Linked DNA regions of Arabidopsis thaliana. The protein of the gene in region 2 interacts with the protein of the main gene of each other region in a biochemical or structural test. Each region holds a gene or a part of one and is shown on either strand. Other genes may lie near its edges. The genes, in order: TSPO and GAMMA-TIP.

Region 1 (12,064 bases), 4.1 Mb from region 2:
AGCCTTTACGAAATTTAGGTACATTGCTTTTCCTTTGTCAAGTCCTGTTATGTACCTGTTGTAAAAAGGTTAAAAACAGAGCAAGAAGAAGATGGTAAAAGAGGTAACCTCAACGGATATGAAAGATTCTTTAGGTTTAGTGAGTGCATGTTCAAAATTCTTAGAGAATCTTTAGTGGGGACATCAAAATTGGCGTGTGGATAAAAGATGATGGAAGCAAACTTTATAGTACATGACATGATACCACTAATTGTCCCCAAAAAAAACAAAAACTTTAAGAAGAAAGCAAACTTCATTTTCTTCCTAAGTGCGAAACCCATTGTGATGAATATATTGGTACCACACTACCACGGACAGTACCTCTTATGAGTGTTAGGTACTGTATGTACTAATTTCCATATGTTAGTGGTACAATGATTATGAAACCATAGTCACACTGAGGTAAGAAAATTGATAATTCTTTCAAGATTTTCAATAGTAATGGATAACATTGCAGAATTTGATGTGATGTCCTTCCATTTCCATAGATTGGCTTTGGAGACATATCCATTATCCTACAACTAGAGGAACAGTCCTAGTGGTTCTTTTATGGAATATGAGATCACCCATTTTTCTTTGTTTTGAGCATGATGGTCACTTATTAAGTAAATACTTATGTGCACACAAGACGTATATCTCTTTTAACTCTAAAGATTTCAGAAAGTAGAAAAAGAGCCTGACTTGCCCTTAGGATTTTAAACAGCATCTAGGAGAACTAATTATTAGAGGAATCAAAGGAGGAATTCACTGACTTGTTCACGATTGGAATGATAAGATTGTAGAGAAAAGTGCGGCGATCAAGATCTTCAGGAATGGTTGGCATTAGCTTTGGCTCTCCAGCAGAAGTCCCAGAGCTGCGAAATGCAAGAAAGCGATTACATTTTCATCAGCTAAAGAAAGACATGCACAGAGACAGAGAAGGCAGCGACTAACAAAGATTCAGACTGAAACAGATACAGACCTGCATAATATTTCAGTAATAGAATGGCCAGTAATAAGAGATGAGTCTTCTCCATTAGCAATTCTCTGAATGTACGGATAGATATCTTTGTATATGATGATTGGCACAGCGCGTTTAAACTCCAGAACATCCTTAGAGCCATTCATGTACTTACTCAAGTACTCTGTGTCCTTGTTTCTTTCCAAGATCCCACGTAAAATGTTATCTTGAACTTCAGCAGCTTTCGAGGTGATCCTCTCAAGCTCTTTTAATACACTGTCGTGATCAAGCTTCATTACATCCATTTCTCAGCTAACCCAAAGAAAGAAGAAGAAGAAGAAGAAGAAGAAGAGAGGTAATGACTGCCTCAGGACTCAAAGTAAGGGGGTATATTTATAGTGGGTTTAGCCATATTTACATACCCAGAAATGGAGATTAACTTTGTCCTTGCAATATATCAGTTAAAGGGAAAAAAAATCAGTGCTGATATCATCAATTATGCAAGCTCAGTTTCAAGGAAGGACAATACGTATAAGAAAAAGATGTACTTAAAGACACTAACACAACAATATTGTGTAAAGACATAGCAGCTTCTCTCTACTTTTTTACTTTAAACCAAAACCAGCATATATATCAGAGTTAAGTTGACTTTCTGCCACATAGCAAAACCTTATATAATGGCTACGAATAAGATAAGTCTACAACAGCCTGAGTTTACAGCTACCAAAAGGGTCATTAACAAGTTCTCAGTAAATGAAGAGACTTTGTTCAGCATGAGAATCAGGGAAGCAATCACAACCATCCATATTTTATCAAAAAATCTCAACAAGGGGGCCACATCTTTTGATGATCAACCACAGTCATGATCATCAAGCTTTAAAGCATGATGCGTTTGGTGCTCGCCGCATCTGATTATTGGCGAAAGTCCACCACTAGCTAAACAACTGCTGACGCTACTCTGTCCCTCAAGAGGAACAACTCTAACCAGACATTGTGGACGCTGTTGGGTGTGGATTCTTTTTCCATATGCAGAAAGGGTTTAGTGACAAACAAAAAGCTAAACTTGCTTCTCTCTGTTATTTTGGTGACTCAGTTTAGCATATAATGTATCGCACTATTGACCCTTTTCCATGCATGGTGATTCACTTCTCACCATTCCCATAAAAAACAAAAGAGATCTAACAGTTTTTAAACTCAGATTCTATTGGTTCATAGTCTTATCCACAAGCTAGATCTTGTTCCCTCTCCAGATTTCCCTGTTTAAAGCTGAGTTTCAACAGCACAGCATCAATGAAACCTATGTGGGTTTTTAAATGTGAACCAATGTTTTAATTAGGGTGAAAATGAGAAGTTGTTACACGAAACTACATGGCTGTTCTAGTGTCACAATCAAACTTTTGACTATATCAGTGACATGTTTATTATTCCTCTGCAAGTTGTAGAAAGGTTAAAAACTTCACTTTTCTTGGCATTTCCGTGTTAATGGAATTCACACTCAACAAAAAAGCAACAGACAAGCTGATATCAGCTGTAAGAAGAAGTTTTTCTATGTAAGGTAAGTCTGAAAGATGACTATCAACATTTTCAAGAGTAAACATTAAAAACTTTAGATTCAATGGATGCAGAACACTGTATGCCATATGTATCAAGACTATGTAACCACCGAGTCTTATCTTATTTATTAAGAGAAAGAAAAGGAAATGAAGATGACTCTCATGGTAAGGAGCAAAAATAAGTAAAAGAAATCAAAATAGATAGACAAGGTGAAGCAAAAGCCTAAGAAAATAAGCTCATGTCTTCCTATTTTGGGCGTCAAGCTTTCATTTGCCAGCACCAGCCAATGTTTTAACAGAGACACTTCTCGACCAGTACTTAATAGAAGTATCACGAGACCATAAATGTAACTACAACTGAAAAACTCTTTGTTTACCTTCTTTAGGCAATTATCAACAGAACACAAGGACAGACAGTGACTAATAAACCAAGAACTATATAGAAAACCACAAGTCTCTTTTCCTAGTCACTGTGGAGGTTAAGGAAACAGTTCTTGTATCAAAAAAGTTGTGTTTTTTTCTTTCTAATCACAGATGATCATTCCAATATGATAACAGTTTGACAACAAAAGGTACTATTTTCAACAAACAAACAACTGAAACAAGTGTTGATGCTAAAGTTAACATGGACAATAGTAATCATTCTTCGTCATCAGTGAATGTATAACAAGAATCATGAAGGGGGCAATAGAAATTTCTTGATAAAAATGTCTTAAAGCCTCGTGGTTTTATGAGACAACACGAATCATGAAGGGGGTAATAGAATGACCTCAAGTCCTTAGTGAGCTTTGGAGATCTTTCTATGGTCTGTTTTAATTCGCTTCATCTAGATTCAGCTTGATCCAATCCACGCCCATATCGGTTATGACTTGCCTTGATCAATGATCATAGAGTAGCTATGTTCTATGCTACATGATCAAGTTCAATGCCAAAGAAGTTACTAAAAGAATAAAAACAAAAAGAAAGAAATTACCATGGATTCAACACAATAAGACAACAACAGTGAAAAGTCTAATACACAAGTTAGCATATTTGCTGAGGAAGATTTTGCACTTGCAAGGACAGATTATTACGCAAGAGGCACATATTCTACACCAAGTCAAATCAAGGAAAAGCTAAGAACCCAGTTTAATAGCATTACGACTATAAACTACGAAATTTAAAATTCTCATTTTTTAGTTTCTTCTCTTTCTTTTAGTACAGGAAGATTCCCAATGCCGTTGAAAAACAAATACCTTGTGTCTAATTCTAAAGCATTTCGTACTAAAATAATTGTTAGAATTTAATGACCAAAATCATTAACACATGTAATTGCCGCCAAATTACAAATTTTTTTATTATAAATCACCATGTTTACAAAACACATATAGTTAAGTTAACCGTTACTTTCTTTAGCTTATCTCTAAGTCTTGGAAACAAGAAGAAAAAAAAGAGCATCAAAAGGTTCAGTTATGCTTTTTTGTGTATTTGGGATTTAGGGTGTTCTTTGAGCTGATAAGGATCGACTGAAGGAGCTAACCAGAGACCCACCAGAATGATCAAGTGTAGACACAATAGCAAACCCGAGGAGGACGGTGTTGATGGATAAACATTCCAACAGAGCTCAATGCCGAGGAACATGATCAAGCTTTTACAGCCAAAAGAAAAACAAGAAGACGAGTTAGGTTTTGATATTTTAACTGTTGTTACAGTAAGAAATGCAGAAATAACTTACCGCAGCCAAGTGGGAAACGGTGTTCTCCATAGTAGATAAGGTAGCGAATAGAAGTACCTGTTATGATCATATGAGTATTGGGGTTGAGGCTAAGAATGTTCGAGAAACGTAAGATTTAGCCAGGTTATTTGGTTACCATGAGTAGAACTGGTAGTGCAGAGAGCGAGCAAATACAATGCCGATGAAATTCCCAACAAACATGGCCGTGACGACATCTGCGAATCAAGTGGAATGCCTGTAAGTATGGACATAGGGAAACATAAGCTAAAATAACAGTAAGAGCTTACGTTCTTTCGTAATAATCCGTGAGGCTGATACATCACTGAACGAGAGTGAAGACGGAAGTGTCAAGAAGAAATGCCTAGAACGCATGAAGCCTATAATCCCGCCTTCATGCCTATAAAATCAACATATTAATTACAACTAATGCTAAACACACAAACTGCAACTGCTTTCAAATTGCAGCTGCCTTATGATTGTACGTACTTGCACCACTTATAATTTGCGAACGCCACAAGGAGAAAAAGGTGAGCAATGAGCAAGCATACTGCAAATTCTTTGGACACAAAAACTCGTTCTGGAACAAATTTGAAGTTAACAGACCTGTTGAGAGCTCAAACTAGAGTTAGAGGTCAAAAGACATTTTTAGATCCCATCAACATGTTTTTTAGATTTGGCGGGAGAGAAGCGAACAATACCAGAAATGAATGAAAACACGTCCAAGATCAAAGGCGTTTGCTATGTATGAAACCGGATATGTTATCAGAAACGGCAGTCCCACGAGTATCTGTATAACCATTCATTGACCAGCTGAATGGTACTTCTTGCATAATCAAAACTATAATTCGCTGGATAATGCAACTCACCTATTTACATTGAAGAAACTACAGTTAACAAGTTTCCAAATTGTCTTGGAGAAACAATGCTACGCATACAAATTGGTGAATAAGAAGGCTTATAAGAGATATAGTGAAACCTGAACAAGAGCTGCACCAGCCAAAGCAGACACCACTCCAATGATATTCATGGCCTGTGAATAGTAAAACTTCACATATGAAGAAAAACAATGCTAGAAGAATAATAAAGCAAATCCATAAACTAATTCTCTTCCACGAACATATATACCTTAAGTAGCAGAAGTAACAAAGTTGGAGCATACAAAAGTACATTCATCTTTACAGAAACAGCTCCACTGTATAAAAAGAAGGGTAAGCAGACTAGTCAATCTAAAGAATCGAGAAGCAAAAGCAGCAATCTAACCTGAAAACAAGCATCCCTAGATGCCATTTACGATAGAGAAAGAGAGCCATTGATGCATGTAGGAGAGTCATGGCAAAACAATCATTAAAGAGACGGAGAACAAAGATTGAATGTATCCTCTTGGATAAACATAGTAGACTTAATGCCCACCATGGCACCTGAAATACGTAAGGATACAAGAAGAGATATCATCACTGAATTCACTAAAATCACTCCCATCATAAACAGACAAATCAAAACCAAAATATTGTTCATTAACATCGTAAATGGACAACGCTTGACAACGTCTACAAATACTTGATGAAAAGAGATAAGAAATAAGTCTTCATTTATACCACATCAGTCTTCACGTAGATGATCAAGACGATCCCCAGATTGACAATGTAGAGAACACCAAAAAGAATCTGCAAAATGTAAGAGAGTAGAATTGAGACAAATGAAGCGATGGATGGATCAAATTCCGCAGCTAATCCAAAGATAGGAGATTCAAAGAGAGGGAATTGCAAGCACCTGAGCAGGGTAGACTTCCCCTCCAGTTAAGTTCTGCACTGCAGAGTAAACATAGAGGAAACCTGCTGGATAAACCAATGGCCCTGTATCGCCTTTCAAGTTCCCATAGTCTCTCTCTCCCCCGAGAAACCCACTAACCTGCCCCAATTAGATAAATTTCACTTAAAGACTACTAGTTTACTTTGAAGAAACCACAGTTGACCATTGACACTTACCTGTGACATGTAAGCATCCCAATCGATCTTCGTGTCTGTTAAAGGCAAATGACGAAATTTGGTTTAAAACCTATGCAAATGCACATTTCGAGGGATACGCAAGCAAAAAAAAAAAGGAGGTAAATAGCTCTCACATGGAACATAGGCGATAATAAGTGCGACTAGGATTGCATCAGCAAGAATTAGCGCGAATGCGAATGGAACTGCAGGTTTTTTGAATAGATCGGATCGATTCGTCTCCTTCCCCAGCCGACGGCTACGAGAAGCTCTCAAACTCGCCGGTGATGAGGCGCCCGCCATGAAAACAGAGCAAATCGCATCAGCGTCTAGCCAACGCCGCGTAACAGACAACTACTTCCATATTACTACTCTTCTAATTAGCCCAAATTAAATGAGCCTATTGGGCTTCTTGTCTTAGTCGGTGTAGAGCCCAATTGTTGTTTTATTTTTTAATAATGCAAAAGTATTAAGCGATAAATAAATAAGCATCGCAATCGTCCCAAAACTGTGTGTATGCATCAGACATGAGCATATAGAGTAAGCACGTGTCCACACTTTTTCACAAAGTTATCTAAAAACAAAAAACAATTAATTAGCATTCGACGTGTACATATCACTCGCCACGTGTACAAGAGCCTTGGCCTTTTTGCTTCTTCTTCTTGTCTATTAATATCATCTCCTGATTATACTCTCTTTTGACCAAGCTGCTTCTTCTCCATCTATCCAACATCTCAAATCTCAGTAATCTTGTTCCTTCGATTCTGTTTTGGACGTTTGTAATGGATTCTCAGGACATCAGATACCGCGGCGGAGACGACAGAGACGCTGCAACGACGGCTATGGCCGAGACAGAGAGGAAAAGCGCTGACGACAACAAAGGAAAACGCGATCAAAAGAGGGCGATGGCGAAACGTGGTCTCAAGTCTCTGACGGTAGCGGTTGCGGCTCCTGTGCTCGTGACGCTCTTCGCTACGTATTTCCTCGGCACAAGCGACGGATACGGGAATCGAGCTAAGTCCTCGTCGTGGATCCCACCTCTGTGGCTCCTACACACAACGTGTCTCGCTTCTAGTGGTCTGATGGGTTTGGCTGCGTGGCTTGTATGGGTTGACGGTGGCTTCCACAAGAAGCCCAATGCTCTGTATCTTTACTTAGCTCAGTTTTTGCTCTGTTTGGTTTGGGATCCGGTTACGTTCCGCGTCGGGTCGGGAGTAGCGGGGCTTGCGGTGTGGTTGGGTCAATCGGCTGCGTTATTCGGATGCTACAAGGCCTTTAATGAGATAAGTCCGGTCGCTGGTAATCTGGTAAAGCCGTGTTTGGCTTGGGCTGCCTTTGTAGCCGCTGTTAATGTAAAGCTTGCAGTCGCGTGAGATCTGTAAACGCTATACGATGATGTTTGTAGAGTCTGAGTCATATGAGTGTTTCTTGTTGTTTTTGTTTTTTGTGATATATACCATAAAAGATGTCTTTGCGATCCAATGGTCTGGTCATTGTGGAGTAATAGACATGAACATGATATACTTGAGAAATAATGTGATATTGTAGAAGTTTTAAGCGTTGGTCTGAAATCAAACTGTGAGATTCTTAAAAGGCGATCGTTTTACTTTTATGTCGCCGAAACGGAACAAATTCAAACGGTAAAGCCAACTATACTTTGATCAGTTTTGGGTTGGGCCGTTGACACTGTTTTGTGGGCTTCTCAGTCAGTGGTAAACCTAAAATTAATATAGGAACTCGAGGATTAGGGCCCAATCCATTTTAACACGTGATGATATCATGTAAGGTTTGGAGGGAATATACAAAAAGTGGATGAATGATAGCGAACGAGAGGTCCTTGTGCTTTTTTGATTTACCCTCGAGACTCGTGCCGACGGAGTGGCCGTGGCTTTCGTGCAACAGTCTCGACCCATACCTCGACACGTGTTGAAAACGGTCCATTAAGAGTAAGACATCTGTCAATAGGACAGCTGTCCTAGAGGTCACTCGTCTCTCACAATCCAATCCCTTTCGCTTAAATTAAAACTAAAATGGAGCATGGCAGCAACATGCCACGTGGCTCACCAGTTTCAAATCTGAGCCGTCCGGTGTGATATAAGTCTTTTTAAAGAGAGAGAGAGCGGTTCGTTTGTCTGCAACGGCACCAAGTCTTTGACAATGGCTGAAGATGAAATAGTAGTCGAAGAAGAGCAATCACAGCCACAGGAGATTACTCCAGTTCCACCATCTTCTTCGTCTTCGCCTTCGTTAGTGGTGGAAGACGACGATGAGATGAAGCTCAAGCACTTGGAATTCATTCAAGTCGCGGCGGTTTACTTCGCCGCCTGTTTCTCGACCCTCTACGAGTTGGCTAAAGACAACGCTGGTCCACTCAAACTCGGCGTCGAGAACATTGAAGATTGCGTTCGAACCGTGCTTGCTCCATTATACGAAAAATTCCACGACGTTCCTTTCAAGCTTCTCCTTTTCGTCGATCGTAAGGTAACAATCAGAATGTAATTCTTAACTTGAATATCGCTTCGGTTTCATGAGTGAGAGGCAAATGATTTGCTTGGTTTTCAGGTGGACGATGTGTTCTTCGATGTTGAGACATATGTTCCGTCATTGGTGAAGCAAGCTTCTAGCCAAGCGCTCACGGTGGCCACGGAGGTGCAGCGCACCGGCGTTGTGGACACTACCAAGAGCATTGCAAGAAGCGTCCGGGACAAGTACGAGCCAGCGGCAGAGTATTACGCAGCGACGCTGTGGCGTTTACTGAATCAACTGCCGTTGTTCCCTGAAGTTGCGCATTTAGTGATCCCCACGGCGTTTTACTGGTCAGAGAAGTACAACGATGCGGTTCGTTACGTTGGCGACAGAGACTACTTTGGGGCAGAGTATCTACCCATGATTCCTATTGAGAAGATCTCTGATATTTTGGAACAAGATCAGTGTCGAGCTGATTGACTATTTACTCTTCTGAAGCCAAAGATTCCTTCTTCTATAGAGTATATATACTGTATGTACTCTGTTTTTCTTTCCTTTCTGCAATTTGCTATCCCAAGAGATGTAATCTTTCTTCAATATTTCATTTAAACAACTTTGCCTTTTAATAATAACAAGAACAAGAGACATAAAGGAAACTGTCCTCTTCAGTCTCAACTTTTATAAAAGACACAAGACCCAAAAAGTAGTATCTGTTTACTAGTAAGGAGAGTGTCTGTTTTTCTTGCGGTTCCTTGGCGGCTTAACAACCAACTCACTTGAAGTCCAAGACCGGTTAATCTCGGTAGCATCCTCATCCGACTTCCAGCAACATAGTCGCCCATCTTCACCCCCAGTCCATCCAAATAACCCTGCAGCTCCTCCATACTCGCCTGGCATCTGCAGAACGCTCCTTACTACATCTATGTGACCTCCACCAAGAATAGCTTCAGCGGTACCGATTGATCCAGGCTGTTTGTAGTTCACCGGAAAATAACCAACGGTTCCTGCGCACGTTCCACCGATCACCCATAAATCTTCACCTCCTGGACAATGACAATCAACAAAATAATCAACCTGCAAAAGAGTAATGGGAAAGTTCAACTCTGTAAGTAACCATTAGGTTTCTGGTTAGTGTTAATGTTTTACTAGAAGGGAAAGAATGAGATTGTTACATTATCTTGAGTCCAACTATCTGATGCGAGTTCCCGAGCTTTCTCTAGGTTGACTTCACAGCTTCCGTCTTCCCAATTCCAAATACTAGAAAGGAGTAAAGAAATTAAAAACAGCACAAGTAACAGACTACAGTTGGAGAGGAGGGCGTGAAAGAGTACCTTAGAGTTTCTATATGAGTGAGACACCAGAGCTTTTTATAGCCATCTCCGAGGAAACCTATTTTGCCAATTGAAGTTCCCACGTTGATGACCTAAAGAGCGACCAAGGCAGAAATGGTTCAGAACTCTCATCTACTATCTTGATGCAGCAAGAAGGCTGATACCTTAAATCTAAAACTTACAGATTCCAGATGATCATCGTCATTGATATCACCTTCAGTGTTAAAAAGACATATCAATCCATCCACGGAAGCGGAAAGAAGCTTGTTGGGCTTGTTAGGAACAAAGTGTACCTATAATTAAGAACAGAGTTGACATCTATAAACTAACAACAAACTAGTTCCTTTCCCGCTTGAGCAGAAAGAATGAGAGAGCAACAAACCTGAGTGACGTCGTCCATGTGGGATTCCTCTAAACAAGCAACTTGCTTTGAGTTTCTCCAGTCCCACAAAAGAACCTGCACCATCGCTTCAGATTGTAACAAGCTGAAACATAGAAAATGCTCAAAACTAGCCTTTTTTCTTTCTCAAAGTGTACTCCTTTTTAAACATTTAGAGAAACAAAAAAAAAAACACGATTCCACAGGATTGAGATGCCTAACCTGCTCTTTGCATCCACCAGCCAGAAGATTATCTGCAGCACCTCCATAGGAGAAGCTGAAAATCTCCTGATCATTCCCAGTATCAATACGCGAAACCTGAAACACCCATGATCAACTTAAATTCAATGAGTTCCGAAAATGGAATCACATTTACGACAGAATTTATATAAAAAAAAAAAAACTCACCTGTTGGAAACTTCGAGTGTCCCAAGATCTAATGGTACCATCGGAGGAACAAGAGTGCAAAACGTGAGGAGACGCCGCCGAGTCGGAGGAAAACGCAATCTGATTGACGGTATCGGAGTGGCCTTTACATTCGCCGTAGTACTGACCAGTCACCGGCGAGTAAAGCTTGACGGTGTTGGTTGATAAGGAAACCGCGATTGCTGTCCAATCGATTCTGTCACAAAACCAGAGTTGGGTTCACTTTCAGTAAACTAATTAGTATGGTTATCGAAAAGAGAGAACAGAAAGCTTTTACTTTGGGACAATCTGGAAGACGTAGTCAGAGCCGAAGTTGGTCTGAATAGAGTTCTTGAGCCCAAATTTCTTCACGTTTTGAGCCGGAGAAGAATCCGAAAGCTGACGATTTTGAACCTCCACTTCCATCTCCGACGACACTTCTTCCATTTGCCGTTTCAGCGAAATTGATAAGGGTTTTAACGGTCTAGGGTTTGTTCGTTGATCAAAACGAAACGAGGATTAGCACTTACCTCTCTAAGTCATAGAGAAGGTTATAACTCTATAGGTCAAAATTTAGGCCTGTTTTAACCTTTTCGGCCCATTTAACGCACGGTCCAATACGATTATTAGCCCAAGGAAACAACAACCAACTCGCTCGCTCACCGTGCGCTTCTTCTAAACATGTCCATAGAAACATAAACATACTAAAATGTGAAAAGATTAAATTAAAAAACGGATAGAAACATATAGAAAGCCACGTGATGGTAGCAAACAGATTTAGTGGTTACAACCAGATATCATTTGATATTGAGATTTATGAAAATGTCCTTTTTCAATGGCTCCGATCGGTCAGTGATCGGATCTAATATTATAAAGGTGTGTTGACCCATAACATAATATTATTACTAATACAAGTAACATGCGGTAATTAACTCTATGTCGATCTTTTTTCTCTGCATATATATCTTTTAGTCGGTTTTTTCGTTCTTGCTAATCGTTATATTCCTCTACACATGGCAATGGAAAAGAAACGAGTAACAACAACAAGTAGCCTGCAAATAATTAAGTGCGATAAGACAACTCTGCTCTGATTGGAAACTGATATTCCGGCCCGTCCCCCTTTTATTACGTAGGAGTAATAAAATTGGGAACGTCAACTTATATTAATCATGACGACGTTTTCTCAAGGGAGCAAATTGTACGTTACGTCTCATATTATCACCACTTTTTTGCAGCAACACAGTTTTATTTCACA
Region 2 (12,535 bases):
AAAAAAAAAAAATCACACAACAGCTCAGTATCAAAGATCTCCCGATACTCATAGTTGCATGTCTTGTGTACGAAGTAAAATGAGATAAATAGTACATACAGGGAGGCAATATCTCTAAGAGAAGCCATGGAAGCTTCTCTAACCACAGAGGAATCATCAGCTAGAGATGATACCAGAAGTTGAACAGCCTCTGCCAACAAAATATAAAAAAAGTAAACTTGATCAGATAAAACAGACATTGCCAAAACCAATGTTGACCCAATTACACAATTCAAGAGTTTTCGATCAAACAAGCCAATACACTGATCAATTTGAGGTAGATTAAAAAATCGAAATCGAAGATTCAGGAAGAAAGTTTTATACCTGGTGCAGGGATTGAGCTCCCTAAACTTGAAGAAGCCATTTCAAAAACCGATCAACTATTTCAAAAACCCAGAATTTCGAAGACCAAAAATTCGACTGTTTTGATCGATCAAGATTTTTTTCAGACGGAGAAGAATCCGACCGAGAGAGGTGAGAAGAAAGAGAGAGCCAGCTCTCGGAGCTCGGTAGTTAGTTATGAAATTTGCGTCGCCTCTTGTCGGAGGGACTTGAATGTTAAAAAGAAAAAGTTTGGGGGAAGAAAACAAATATATGAAACCAATTGTAACCGATGGACCCATACCCGACAAGACGGGTCCGGGTATAATAGCGGTTTTTTTAAGCCCGTTGCTTTTGGATCATTCTTTTGTTTCTATAGATTGATAAGAATGCTCAAATTATTGGCCCAATAATTTGAGCGGTGTTCTCTGAATCACTTTGTTCCTTTTTTCTTTCAACACTAACTAGAGTGTAAATTATGGCTTTGAATGGAGGAATGCAAGTGTTGGATGCAGCAAAATTGGAGTAGTAACACTAATAAGTGACAATTAGGATGATGATCATCTATAAGAGTAATTATTATAAACTTTGGCTTCATTTTTCTATTTCCATTTGTTTGTGTACTACCAAAAAATTTACACAAGTGGGTAAAAAATTCGTTTTGCAAAACACTGCTTTCAAGAGACAAGTATTTACCATGACTCTTGTAGATAGAGATCGAGTTCCAATTCCTCTAACCGATAATTTATAAATCTATTATCTTCACGTAGGTAGGATAATGGCGGAAGAGTGAAGATTCCATGAGCAATTTTTGTACTTCACACACCGACTTGAATCTAATGATACATGTTAGCAATATTTTCCCCGGAAACATTTCTCTAGTCAATTGGCTTTGCTTCTTCTTAGCTGTTTTCTTATGTTTGCTTCTTCTCGCCTTCTTTCTCCTATATTTTTTTTTTCCATAGTGTGATAATTAAGGGCTTGAACCTACAAGAGTTTTCTTTATTTAATTATTTTATTAATGCTTTCAATTTTTTCCTAATTATTATATTTGTAATAGTTAAATTTAATATATTATTTTTTTCTTTTAAAGAGGTAGAATGTGGTGTGCAATTACCAATTAGGAGAGGTTGGTTTAAAAAAATGGAGAAAATTAAATACCCTTTTTCAGTTTTTGCTTTGGACTAAGTTTAGCCTTTTAGCTAAATATACGTAAAGGCTCGAGCATAACACAATCCGATATTCTGAAAATCTGTTTCAATCACAAGATCCATTATCGTCGGATCGGAGAGGAGAAGTTTTCACCACCGTCCCACTGATCTCAGATTGTCGTCTCCAACTAGACAAATATGAATTTTCATGGTAAGAGTAAGAGAGATAGGCATGGAAGGCGGAAGAAGCAGAGAGACGAAATCGAGTATATGGCCAAAAGGGCACTAAGTGCTTCAAAGAAACTGAAGAGACAGTCAGTTATTGGGTACTCCAATGATTCAAACCCTTTTGGGATTCCAACATAGCCGAGACATTCGTGTGGCGGAAGAAGATTGAAAAAGATGTTCATCATGGAGCATCTCTAGATGAATTCTCTGTTAAACTAAGAGGATCAGAGAATGGGAGTTAACTAAAGCTCGTAGAAGAGATGAGGAATTGCTTGCTTCTCAAGAAAGAGCACTACACGCTGGTGTTGAAGCTGGTGTGAGAGAACTTCTTGATGGGAAGACTCACGCGGAGCTTGTACAACTGCAGTTTGACATCGAATCGCAGCTGCGCTCTGGAGCAGCCAAAGTGGTAGAGTATAGGGAAGCGGTTCTTAAACGCCTCAATAGATATAAAGCAAAGGCTTGCTTGAAGAAATAAACGCTGAGATACTTCAACTTTAAACGACTTCGGTACAGGCGATAAGGTGATTGGAGTTTTGGCTGGAGAAAACAAAAGTGGGGCAGTTATATATAAGACTTTGGCTGGTGTACTATTAAGGGTTGATTTCAAATAAATGAAATGCCTTTTGTGTCCAGAAAATACATCTACATGGTGGTAGTTTCTATCTTACAAAAGTGGCAAGTTATAAGACGTTGGCTGGCTAGTATCTTGTTTGGTTTGTTTCTATATACTTACTTTCCCTTTGTTAATTTTGTGAAACGTTGCTTGTTTATTGATAATCTCTATTTCGCATGCGTTCATTTCTGGATGATGTTCCCTATCTTCTGATTTTGATTTTTGTATTGTTAAACCGTACTTCCCATATAACACATTTTTCATTTTGTAGCAATGACCAATGAGCTTTACTTACAACATCTTGAGATGATAGCACGAAGTCGAACTTTCAAGTTAGCAGAATTGTAAAGGGCACAAAATAAAAGCAGTATATGGGTAAATGTCACCAATAAAATGCACCATGGAGAGCCGGAGAGAAGGTATGTTATTTGAGTCGGTATCAAAAACGAAAACAGTCACTGGTCAGGAAAAGTTACTTCTCCCATATGATATATCGGCAGATTTGGTATGATGTGTGCGAGTTAAGCATCTCATTCGTTAATAAAAGCATTAGCTATAAACAAGGAATTATCCATCTTTATATAACCTTATTGCAGAAATTTCTCTACCATAGCAATATAAATACGGTCCTTCTAATTTTGATTTTGCCGCTTGATTACTTTTGAAAATAACTAAATCTGGTTACTATAATTAAGTTTTTTAAGTGAAATGAATAAATTTGTGGTTAGATGATTCATGATTGTATTCATTAGGGGTCCCATAATCTAATATATTTATACTATCTTAATTTGTCAACGTGATGATATTATTTTCTGCATTGAGAAGCCATTTAAATTTGCATACACTCTTTATCACGTTAAGAAAAATCATTAAAAGTATTATTTAAGTCAACAATAATAATGTGATGTGAATTCTTTCTTGGTTCAAAAAGAAAACAAATTCTTTTTTTTCTTATTGGTCGGCCGGGTTAATAGATTGGGCGGTGTGGATTGTAGTTCGCTCGGATCATACTTAGAAATATTGTTGGTTTCTTCCCTCATTTTTGTCGACTTAACTATTTTGGGTTGTTTTGACCCCAAAAAAAAAAACCCACTATTTTGGTTTAATAGACAAAATTTAGTCTCTGTTGTTTAATTTTGTTTGATGGAAGTTTATATTGGTCCAAAATGAGATTCAGTTCAAATTAAATAAATAAATTATCTATTTAACCAAACTTATTTAAAAGAATTTATATGCTCTCAATCTTTTTGTTTGTAAAGATTTAAAAGTTAAAATTTTAAACAAATAACAAAATGGAGCAACGACGAATCTATCAACGTACGTACGTTCTCAGACATTACATTGTACAATTATTTCGACAAAAAAAAAAGCCTCATTGATTATCATTTATATATTATATCATAGAGATTCGTGCCCCTTATCTCGTTTTTTTTGCAAGACTAAACAAGTAACAAATTGCCTAGCTGCCTAAAGAAGTGAAGATAATACTCTTTCTAAAATCACAATATTCTCATAGTAAAAAAAAACATATTTATCATCATATCGTCCAAATATTTCAGTTTTGTTGTTTGTTTAACAATACAAATTAACAATGATTTAATTTGGAGCACTTGAATATAATAGTACACCGACCACAACCCCACACAATTCACAAACTTGAGAAAGAGAGAGAATATGCCCAAACTCACCAAACCTAATCATTTTCATAATTAACGAAAAAAATAGTTTCGGTAAGATGATGATGTCTTAGTTAACTTTTGCTTACTACTTTTTTAATCATTAAACAAAAAAAAATATTAAAAATCGTTTTCACTTGTTCAATACATATTTTTAAGTTTTATTTATAAGGAAAAAAACTTAATAGCTTATTGCACCAAAACTAATATGGTCCTTATGGATCAGTTTCATGTTTTTAGTTTTTTATGTAATGAAAATTTGAATTATTTTCTAAAAATATGTGTACGATATGGTTCGATTTAAATAGAAACCATGGTTCAAAACGTCAGATTAGTAACGTTCATAAAACTGAACGACTTAATTATGTCCACGTATACGGTTGGTTTCTTTCAACGTTTTTAGATAGTTAATGCTTTGAAATCTTAGTTAGTTATACAAAGGTAAGGTAAACGGTCCAAAAATGATTGTTCTCAATCAAGTTTTAAATAAGAAGGAGAAAAAGTCAACAAGGAAATGCACCAATCAATAAAGTGTCACCAAATATATGAGGAATTCCGATGATTAGCTAGCGTTTTGAAAATACTTCGGCTACTAGCTATGTTTTTGAGAAGTACGTACATGTGGTTGGTAAAAGAATACTGGAACATTGTCACTAGAACGTTCGTGATTGTACGCAGTATTCATGCCAGTTGATGTTGTGCACCATCAATGTTCATTATGTGAACCACCCAAAAAGGCAAAAACAATGGATCATCCACCTAACAATCCACCCCAATCTAGGTAGTTCTAAAATCACACGACTTACATCAAAGGAAAAGTTTCACATGTTTATCAATCACAGGTCACAGTATGTTTGAAAGAGATGATAGAAAAAAGATATCAAATTTGTCCCGTGTTGATAGGAAAGTTGGTTTGGTATCGTATTATAATTTTCTCTACACACACACGACTCATGTTTCATGTGTTAAAAAAAAAAAGCAATCGTTTTAATCCCTTCCAATTTATATAAATCTGCGGGCTCTGTTTTTATATAAAGAAAATTGGATCAGTTGTATGAACTTCGAACTGTGCAAAAAACTTCAAAATGGTTCAACTATTTTGTCAAGGCTTGTAAAATAAATAAAAATTAGCACACTGTTAAAATTTGTAGTATTATATTTAAAAAAAAAAAAGATCAAATTAAACAAAAGAAAAACGAAATTATCACGTCTTTTATTTATTATTATTTTAAATAAATAATATGACATTTTAAATTTTGTTTGGAAATTAATCACTTTCTGGCAGTACCTCTCAGCCGAATTGTAAACCTAAACCGCCCAAAAGGGACAGATTGCATCGTGGTGGTAGGACATTCATAAATTATTATTTTTCCTTAAGTGGAGGGCCGTCACACAATACTTTTTGCCCAATAGATAATTGGCCCACAAAATAAAATGCTAAAATAAATATATAATCTTTCTGTATGATTGTGAAAAAATGTGAGATTGTCTCGAATGTTAAAATTTGGTGCCACAAACAATATAAATATATAATCACAGAAAAATTGGTGCCACAAACAAGATAACATCTTATAATTTTCTCGTATACTTGGAGAGCGAGTTGAAAGAATTGCGATTAGAATAAAGCGTAGTGATTTGGCATTGAATATCATTTATGCTACATAATTCTACTTAGCGATAATATAAAAAAATATCATAACTTATGGTTAGCATGTAATGTCACTATACGAATATCAAATTCATAAAACTAGCCGTGACTTATCTACACAGAATTATTTATGTTTCGAGAATAAAGACCCAAGAGAAAACAACGACATTATAACAAAAAAACAACGACAGATTATAAGTAAGGAAGAAACAAATGACTATAGATTAGATATGAAATATTTTTAGTAACCATCTTTAGTTATAATTTTTGTTTTGGAGCTTGCTCCGTATACTCAGTTGAGTATTTTTACCACACATATATCAAGACTAAATTCTACCACTAATCAAGTAAAAACCTCTTAGCAAAATAGTTGGAGAAAAACAAGAATAAAATCGTATTATTTTCCTCTAGAACTATCGATCATTCGAGAGAGAGAATATGAAAAAGGGACAAAAGCTCTATACATGTACAAACATGACAAGTCATTATCCGCCACGTAGATTGGTCGGTTCCGCTTCGCTGGAATTATAGCGATGTACTTGTTTAGCCTGTTTTCAAAATTATTTAAATCTCTAACCGCTCCAATCAAATAATTTCTCCACCAAATATTAATAATATATCATCCGGTAACCGGTCACCAAAATGGCGCCACCTCAGATATAAGTAAGAGCACATAGTAGACCAGAAAAAATCATCAAATCCATCTCCCACTCTTCTAGCATCTTGAAGCTTAAATCTCAGCCGTCCGATCATGCCGATCAGAAACATCGCCATTGGCCGTCCAGATGAAGCCACCCGTCCCGATGCCTTAAAGGCGGCGTTGGCTGAGTTCATTTCAACTTTGATCTTTGTCGTCGCCGGTTCAGGCTCTGGCATGGCTTTCAACAAGCTCACTGAAAACGGAGCCACCACTCCTTCTGGTCTCGTAGCTGCTGCAGTGGCTCATGCCTTTGGACTCTTCGTCGCTGTCTCAGTTGGTGCCAACATCTCTGGTGGACACGTTAACCCTGCCGTCACTTTCGGTGCTTTCATTGGTGGTAACATCACTCTCCTCCGTGGTATCCTCTACTGGATTGCTCAGCTTCTCGGCTCCGTCGTCGCTTGCCTCATCCTTAAATTCGCCACCGGTGGCTTGGTATGTCAAACTACCCTTTAGCCCTTTATTAGATCTCTTTTTGGACCTAACTTCTTTGTCAAGTAACTAATTAACCTTTTGAAAATTTTAGGCTGTGCCGGCTTTTGGTCTCTCTGCTGGAGTAGGAGTGTTGAACGCTTTCGTTTTCGAGATCGTGATGACATTCGGGCTTGTTTACACCGTCTACGCTACAGCCATTGACCCCAAAAACGGGAGTCTTGGAACAATTGCTCCCATCGCAATCGGTTTCATTGTTGGAGCCAACATCTTAGCTGGAGGAGCTTTCTCTGGAGCCTCCATGAATCCCGCCGTGGCTTTCGGACCAGCGGTGGTGAGCTGGACATGGACCAACCACTGGGTCTACTGGGCCGGACCTCTCGTCGGCGGTGGAATCGCTGGACTCATCTACGAAGTTTTCTTCATCAACACCACACACGAGCAGCTCCCAACCACAGACTACTGAATTAATCTCTCTTTTTCTCTCTTGTGTAATTTTATTCGACTTTGAATTTGAATTTTAATGTCTTTTTAATTTCCGTTTGTGTAATTTCGAATCATCAAGGGGTTTATGATCGTTCGATCTTTTAGATGAATCCTTGTCCGTTGGTTTCAAGAGTGGCCATTGCAATTTCGACTATATAATGTGAATTATGTATCAATCTCATCTTAAGTTTTCAAGTGTTGCAATATCTCTTTTTGCCATTTTGTCAAACTTTTAAATTCCACATCAGTCTTATTACACATTAACTTTATTTATGACCGAATTTATAAGAAATGAGTAAACAAATTATGAGTAATAAAAAAATATGATATATAATTATATATATTTTTTAAAAAAACTAGAATTTGATACAAGTTTCGATCTATTTACGTCTAACAAAATTCACCATATCTTTAACAAAAAAAAAAAAAAAAAAAAAAAAGAAGAAGACAAATTAAATTCACCATATGTATATGTAAAAATTTGAAAGTTGGAATGGTTGGCGTTTTGCAATAAGGGAATAAAATGATATTGTAGGGGTCAGTCAGTGAGGGTTACTAGTCAATCAATACTCAATAGTGAATACGGCTTTTCTTTTTTTTATGTTGCTTTGTATTTGCATTTTGCAAAGGGTGTGAATTTAGAAAAATAAGATCCAATGAGAAAGATTAATCTGTTTTCCTTTTACTTATTTTAAGCAGTAAGATTGTTTTGCAATAGAGATCTCAAGTCTCAACCATACTTGTCAAACAGGTCCGACCAAAATCAAGACATGATTCGATGAGGTGCTAAGTTTGACGTTGCCTAATGTCTTCGTTTGTCCGATACCATTTTCGGGTTTTATAACAAAAATTAGAATTCCTGTTTGGTTTTGGCATTTTAGAGATATTTCAAAATCTTTGGCCAAATGGATACGGATTGGCAGAAGCACGTGAAAACGTCTGTACCAATTCCTTACAATTTCATTGTCTTTTCTTCTACTGATCAAGGAGAGTTTGAAACTTCGGTCGACGCCACTAGCAGAATCGTACACTGGTGCAATTGCCGACATATTATCTTCCGAATAAGTTATGTTTTCTATACAAGAACATTGTAACTTTGAAGGTAAATATGCTTCGTTACATTAGAGTAACTATCTTTCAAATGTGATCACCATTTTCTATAATTAGATTTTGAGATAATCTGAAGATTTATTTACGCCATTTTAGACTCATTATAATATATGTATATTGTTGTATAATTTGGCAAAATTATATATTATATGATATTATCTAGAATGTTCGATATAATATTCAATACCCATGTGCCATTTTGGAAACTTATACCTAATGTTTTTGTAGGTTTCTCTTTCCCTTTTCCCTATAAATGTGTAATTTCTCATCAACCTTTTTGTGAGTGAATAGTATAATAAGAGTACACTCATAACTCGTACCAAACCATTATGGTCCTTATCAATCATATGGCTCTCTCACAAGCCACAAATCTAGTTCTTCCTTTATTAATTAGACTAGGTCGGTCACATGAACTAAACATAAACTTTTCATACATACACCGTAACACGCAGAATATTTAGAATTCAATCTCAAGTGAAAGTTGAACCGCATCAAACTGTAACAATTTTTATCTAGCACTCTAGCAGTTATATTGATGTTTAAATAAAGAGAAACGACCTAGCTGCAATAATATCAAAAGCAATTAGATCAAACTTGTTGGCGTTTCCTTTTATCTTTCTGCTATTGTGAAGATTGAAAATATATACAAACTAAGCATCTTATTGGCACTAATTAACCACGTTAGGGCAAAAGTGATTTCACAAATTCATTATCGTTAAATATGTCAAAACAAAACAATATGGGATACAGATTCGCAGGAGGGACAAAGCCAAAAAACTATCAAAAGTGATTGAAAAATGGACCGTAAAAGAGGACAGCTGGTTGGTCACTATCTGCTAAAGAGTAAATAGCTGAGTGACTGACCAATGCATAAATTATTAATGTTTGGGTCCCAAAATTTTCACAGATCTTCATCATTTTTAGGTTTTCTTCTCTAAATTATTTTCATTATTAGTATTCCAGTCTTCTAGGAAATGATAAATAGATTTATTATCCTTATGAATTTTGTTGAACTATGATTCATTATATGAGAGTATTTTGTAGAAACTAAGTTGTAGTAAAGAATACACATGATTAACATTTTAAGATACTAACCATTCTCACTCATAGAGTAACGTTTTTGTCTGCATACATCACCTTTCTTTTAATACAAGAAGAAGATTAACAAGTATCAATGTATCATCAAGGTACATTATTAGGGTTCTCTTTTCTCAAAGATATTGTTTATACTTTTAGGGGGTGTTATTCGTTAATGGATTTTAATAGAATTGAAATCCAACACTAATCCACTGTTATTCAACTAATGATTCTAAATCCAGCTTTAAAATCTAGTGTTATTGGAACTCATATTTGTAAATCATGCTTAATAGATTTTAAAGTTTGGTGTTATTCAATTAAGATTTTAAATATTTCATTAAAACCCAATGTTATTCAAAACTAAAAGACTTGTAAAATCTTTGTATATTAATTGATTTGAAACGAAACCTTTTTGGAGTTTCATGAGTAAATCATTAGAATCAAAATCCAAGACATATTGCAGAGATTTTGAAATTCATACAAACATATTCTTAAAAGCAATATCAGAAAACAAATCTAAAGCTTAAAGAATTGACTTTAACTCCATAATTGAATAACACCATCTTAGAGTTTACTTTTTGTTTTTCTAAAGTAAAACTGGTACACACGTTGTTGGGTTTGTGGAGAGATTATGTTCACTTTTTATGAATTCAAATGGGCCGGGCGGTGCCTAACATTCTCTCCGTGATTATTTAAAGTTTTCGCTTCTTTCTGTTACTCCAACGACAACGTCACTTATCAATGATCTTGTTTATTAAATCATATTTCTTACGTGAGACAACACACTACTTGGACAATTTTATTCCGTGAGTTTTACCTTAATCGGTTTAGAACTTCATTTTGGTTAACCATACGTCTATGGTTAGTTATTTTTAGGTCGAATTCTATTTTCAGCGAGTGTTTTAACATGTGTAGTTCGTGAAATCGGTAAAAGCTTTGTATCGTTTACGATCCATCGACGAAAGATGGTTTATTCTTGACTCCTGAGATCCCATTTTGGAACTCAAAAGAGAACTTCATTCATTTCGACAAGGAATGAGTGGAAAACTTGAAGAACGATGGAGATAATAAGCCTTTAAAGACATTTTTAAAACTGTCATTAAAACCAATTATTTGATAGTATATAGATTCTGTCTGTAAAAATCCTCTATACAAACACACGCACACCGTATTCAACTTTGCTCATATCAGATCTCTCTGCCACTAACAAGTTCTGGCGACTAGACAGATATCCCGCAATCCCAAAACTCCAGGTGTAGAACCTTGACAAGTATATGACCGGTTATCCACTGTGCTTAGCGGTCAATGAAGGACTTATTCATCAGCTCGACAGCGTTGTCCATGAACTGCATTCTCAGGAACAACAGATAGATCATTGTTAACTTACAAGTTACAACCATCGATAATAGAAAACATCAATTATGATCATGCTAACAAAACAGAAAATAGGTTCTAATGCGTTCATACTACGTGCTGAACACATTTCATTTCTAATTATGATAATGATTGACCCGATGCTCAATCAAAATTCCGGTCTAACCGATATTTTCTGCCATTAGCTGTTTGTGTGCAGATGATTAATCTATGCATACCAATTAGAGTTCAGGTTTCTCGGTTAGAACCAAGTGGCTTGACTAGTAATGCTACCAGGATCCAACTCCCACTAAGTCTCCCTTGTTGAGCCACATAATTACTTTAGGATTTTTCCTAACTAACGAGCTTACCCACACACAAAAAAATGACCATCTATGATCTTGATATGCGAGGAGTTATAGGATACAATAACCTAACCCTCTCTTATAATAACTTCACATAACACACTAGCCTTAGGCAAACAAGAGCTTTAAGAGTTCAAATTAAACAAATACAGAGAATGAAACAAGATTATCCAAGGTATTGGCTCATATTGACAAGGTCATATACAAGTGGATAAATTTGATTAAGACACATAGCAATAAAAGTGTTGGTCTTTACCTTCCCAAGCATTTTCAGCTCCTTTCCCACTGGTTCCAAGAATTTAAGATCAACTTCAACAGGCCACACCTATTCAAATACACCCAAAAATGAAACTATTAACAAATGAAACCTCATACTCCATGAATGATTAAAAACCTATGGAATAAAAGAAACTAATATTTCCCTTATGTTCAGACCTAGGCAGCTCTACGGTTTAAGAAACTAATCTCAAGAGTGAGCCAAAAATCAAAACTTACACAAAACTACCAAATCAACTCGAACATTCTACAAGGAAGACAACAGAAGATGACACTTTTCCTGTATGAATTCTAAGCCAATTTGAATACTAAAAACTTCTACTACACACATGCAAGCACAACAAATAACTATCCTCATTCTTTCCAATTCCAACACTCAAACATCATCAAGAGAACTCAAACTAAAGTAGTAATTTCTCAATAAGTAACAAACCTTAACACCAAGTAACCGAAGAGGTGTTACTTGGCCAGGAACAACGCATTCAGGTCCTGCGGATTCAAGTACAGCTTCCATCGCAAACCCACCTCCCACAGGATTCGGATGCTGCAGAGATTACACGCAACCCCATAATTAAAAAAAACTGTGAAAATTCCCAAATTTGATTGCAATCCGCAAAACAAACAACCTTCATGACGGAAATGGCGTAATCGGTTTCTGGGTTTTGAGAGATAGATAAAACCGGAGAGCGACTGATCTTAGGCACTGGTCTTCCTGACGAAACTCGCCATGGTGCATCCTCAGCTAGCGTCGCTCCTCCTTTCTTCGCCATTAAAGATTTCGTTTTTTTCGTTGGAGAAGCAGAATTCGAAATTGAGAGCCCTTAATTTATTCTCAAAGTGGATAGAAAGATTTATCTAAATTGCAAAGTAGAAAACTTTGTGGTCAGCTTTCGGATTGTCTTCGTGTGCTTCTTAAAGAGTCGCCATTTTTCTTAGGTTTCTCCTTCACTTTTTGCCCCTCATTAAGTGTTTAATTACGATATAGCCACTCACTTCATATAATATGAGAAAAATCTCAGCTCAATACAACAAAGAGAAAAACTTTAGCTTCTTACTA

What was found.
Region 1: the proteins of GAMMA-TIP (region 2) and TSPO form a complex in vitro, tested with the Arabidopsis thaliana proteins (one study listed by BioGRID).

Annotation. Positions count from the first base shown.
Region 1 is NC_003071.7:19,561,691-19,573,754, forward strand, and holds TSPO (TSPO(outer membrane tryptophan-rich sensory protein)-like protein), read left to right. Parts: upstream 1-6,773; 5' UTR 6,774-7,010; coding exon 7,011-7,601; 3' UTR 7,602-7,817; downstream 7,818-12,064. Other genes in the region: putative indole-3-acetic acid-amido synthetase GH3.9, read right to left, coding at 1-55, 792-893, 1,001-1,284; ALG3 (asparagine-linked glycosylation 3), read right to left, coding at 3,982-4,159, 4,247-4,303, 4,383-4,461, 4,534-4,643, 4,733-4,849, 4,945-5,033, 5,223-5,276, 5,372-5,438 and 5 more; AT2G47780 (Rubber elongation factor protein (REF)), read left to right, coding at 8,386-8,709, 8,791-9,174; AT2G47790 (Transducin/WD40 repeat-like superfamily protein), read right to left, coding at 9,412-9,768, 9,867-9,951, 10,026-10,117, 10,208-10,318, 10,408-10,482, 10,627-10,722, 10,813-11,026, 11,108-11,256. UniProt on the Arabidopsis thaliana protein: Stress-induced membrane protein that can bind heme and may play a role in the transport of tetrapyrrole intermediates during salt stress and contribute to the detoxification of highly reactive porphyrins in the cytoplasm.
Region 2 is NC_003071.7:15,439,060-15,451,594, forward strand, and holds GAMMA-TIP (gamma tonoplast intrinsic protein), read left to right. Parts: upstream 1-6,234; 5' UTR 6,235-6,430; coding exon 6,431-6,814; intron 6,815-6,905; coding exon 6,906-7,277; 3' UTR 7,278-7,562; downstream 7,563-12,535. Other genes in the region: AT2G36810 (ARM repeat superfamily protein), read right to left, coding at 100-190, 364-403; AT2G36815 (mid region of cactin), read left to right, coding at 1,710-1,777, 1,962-2,217; AT2G36835 (uncharacterized protein), read right to left, coding at 10,780-10,830, 11,459-11,527, 11,912-12,022, 12,105-12,248. UniProt on the Arabidopsis thaliana protein: Water channel required to facilitate the transport of water, diffusion of amino acids and/or peptides from the vacuolar compartment to the cytoplasm. Does not promote glycerol permeability. May play a role in the control of cell turgor and cell expansion.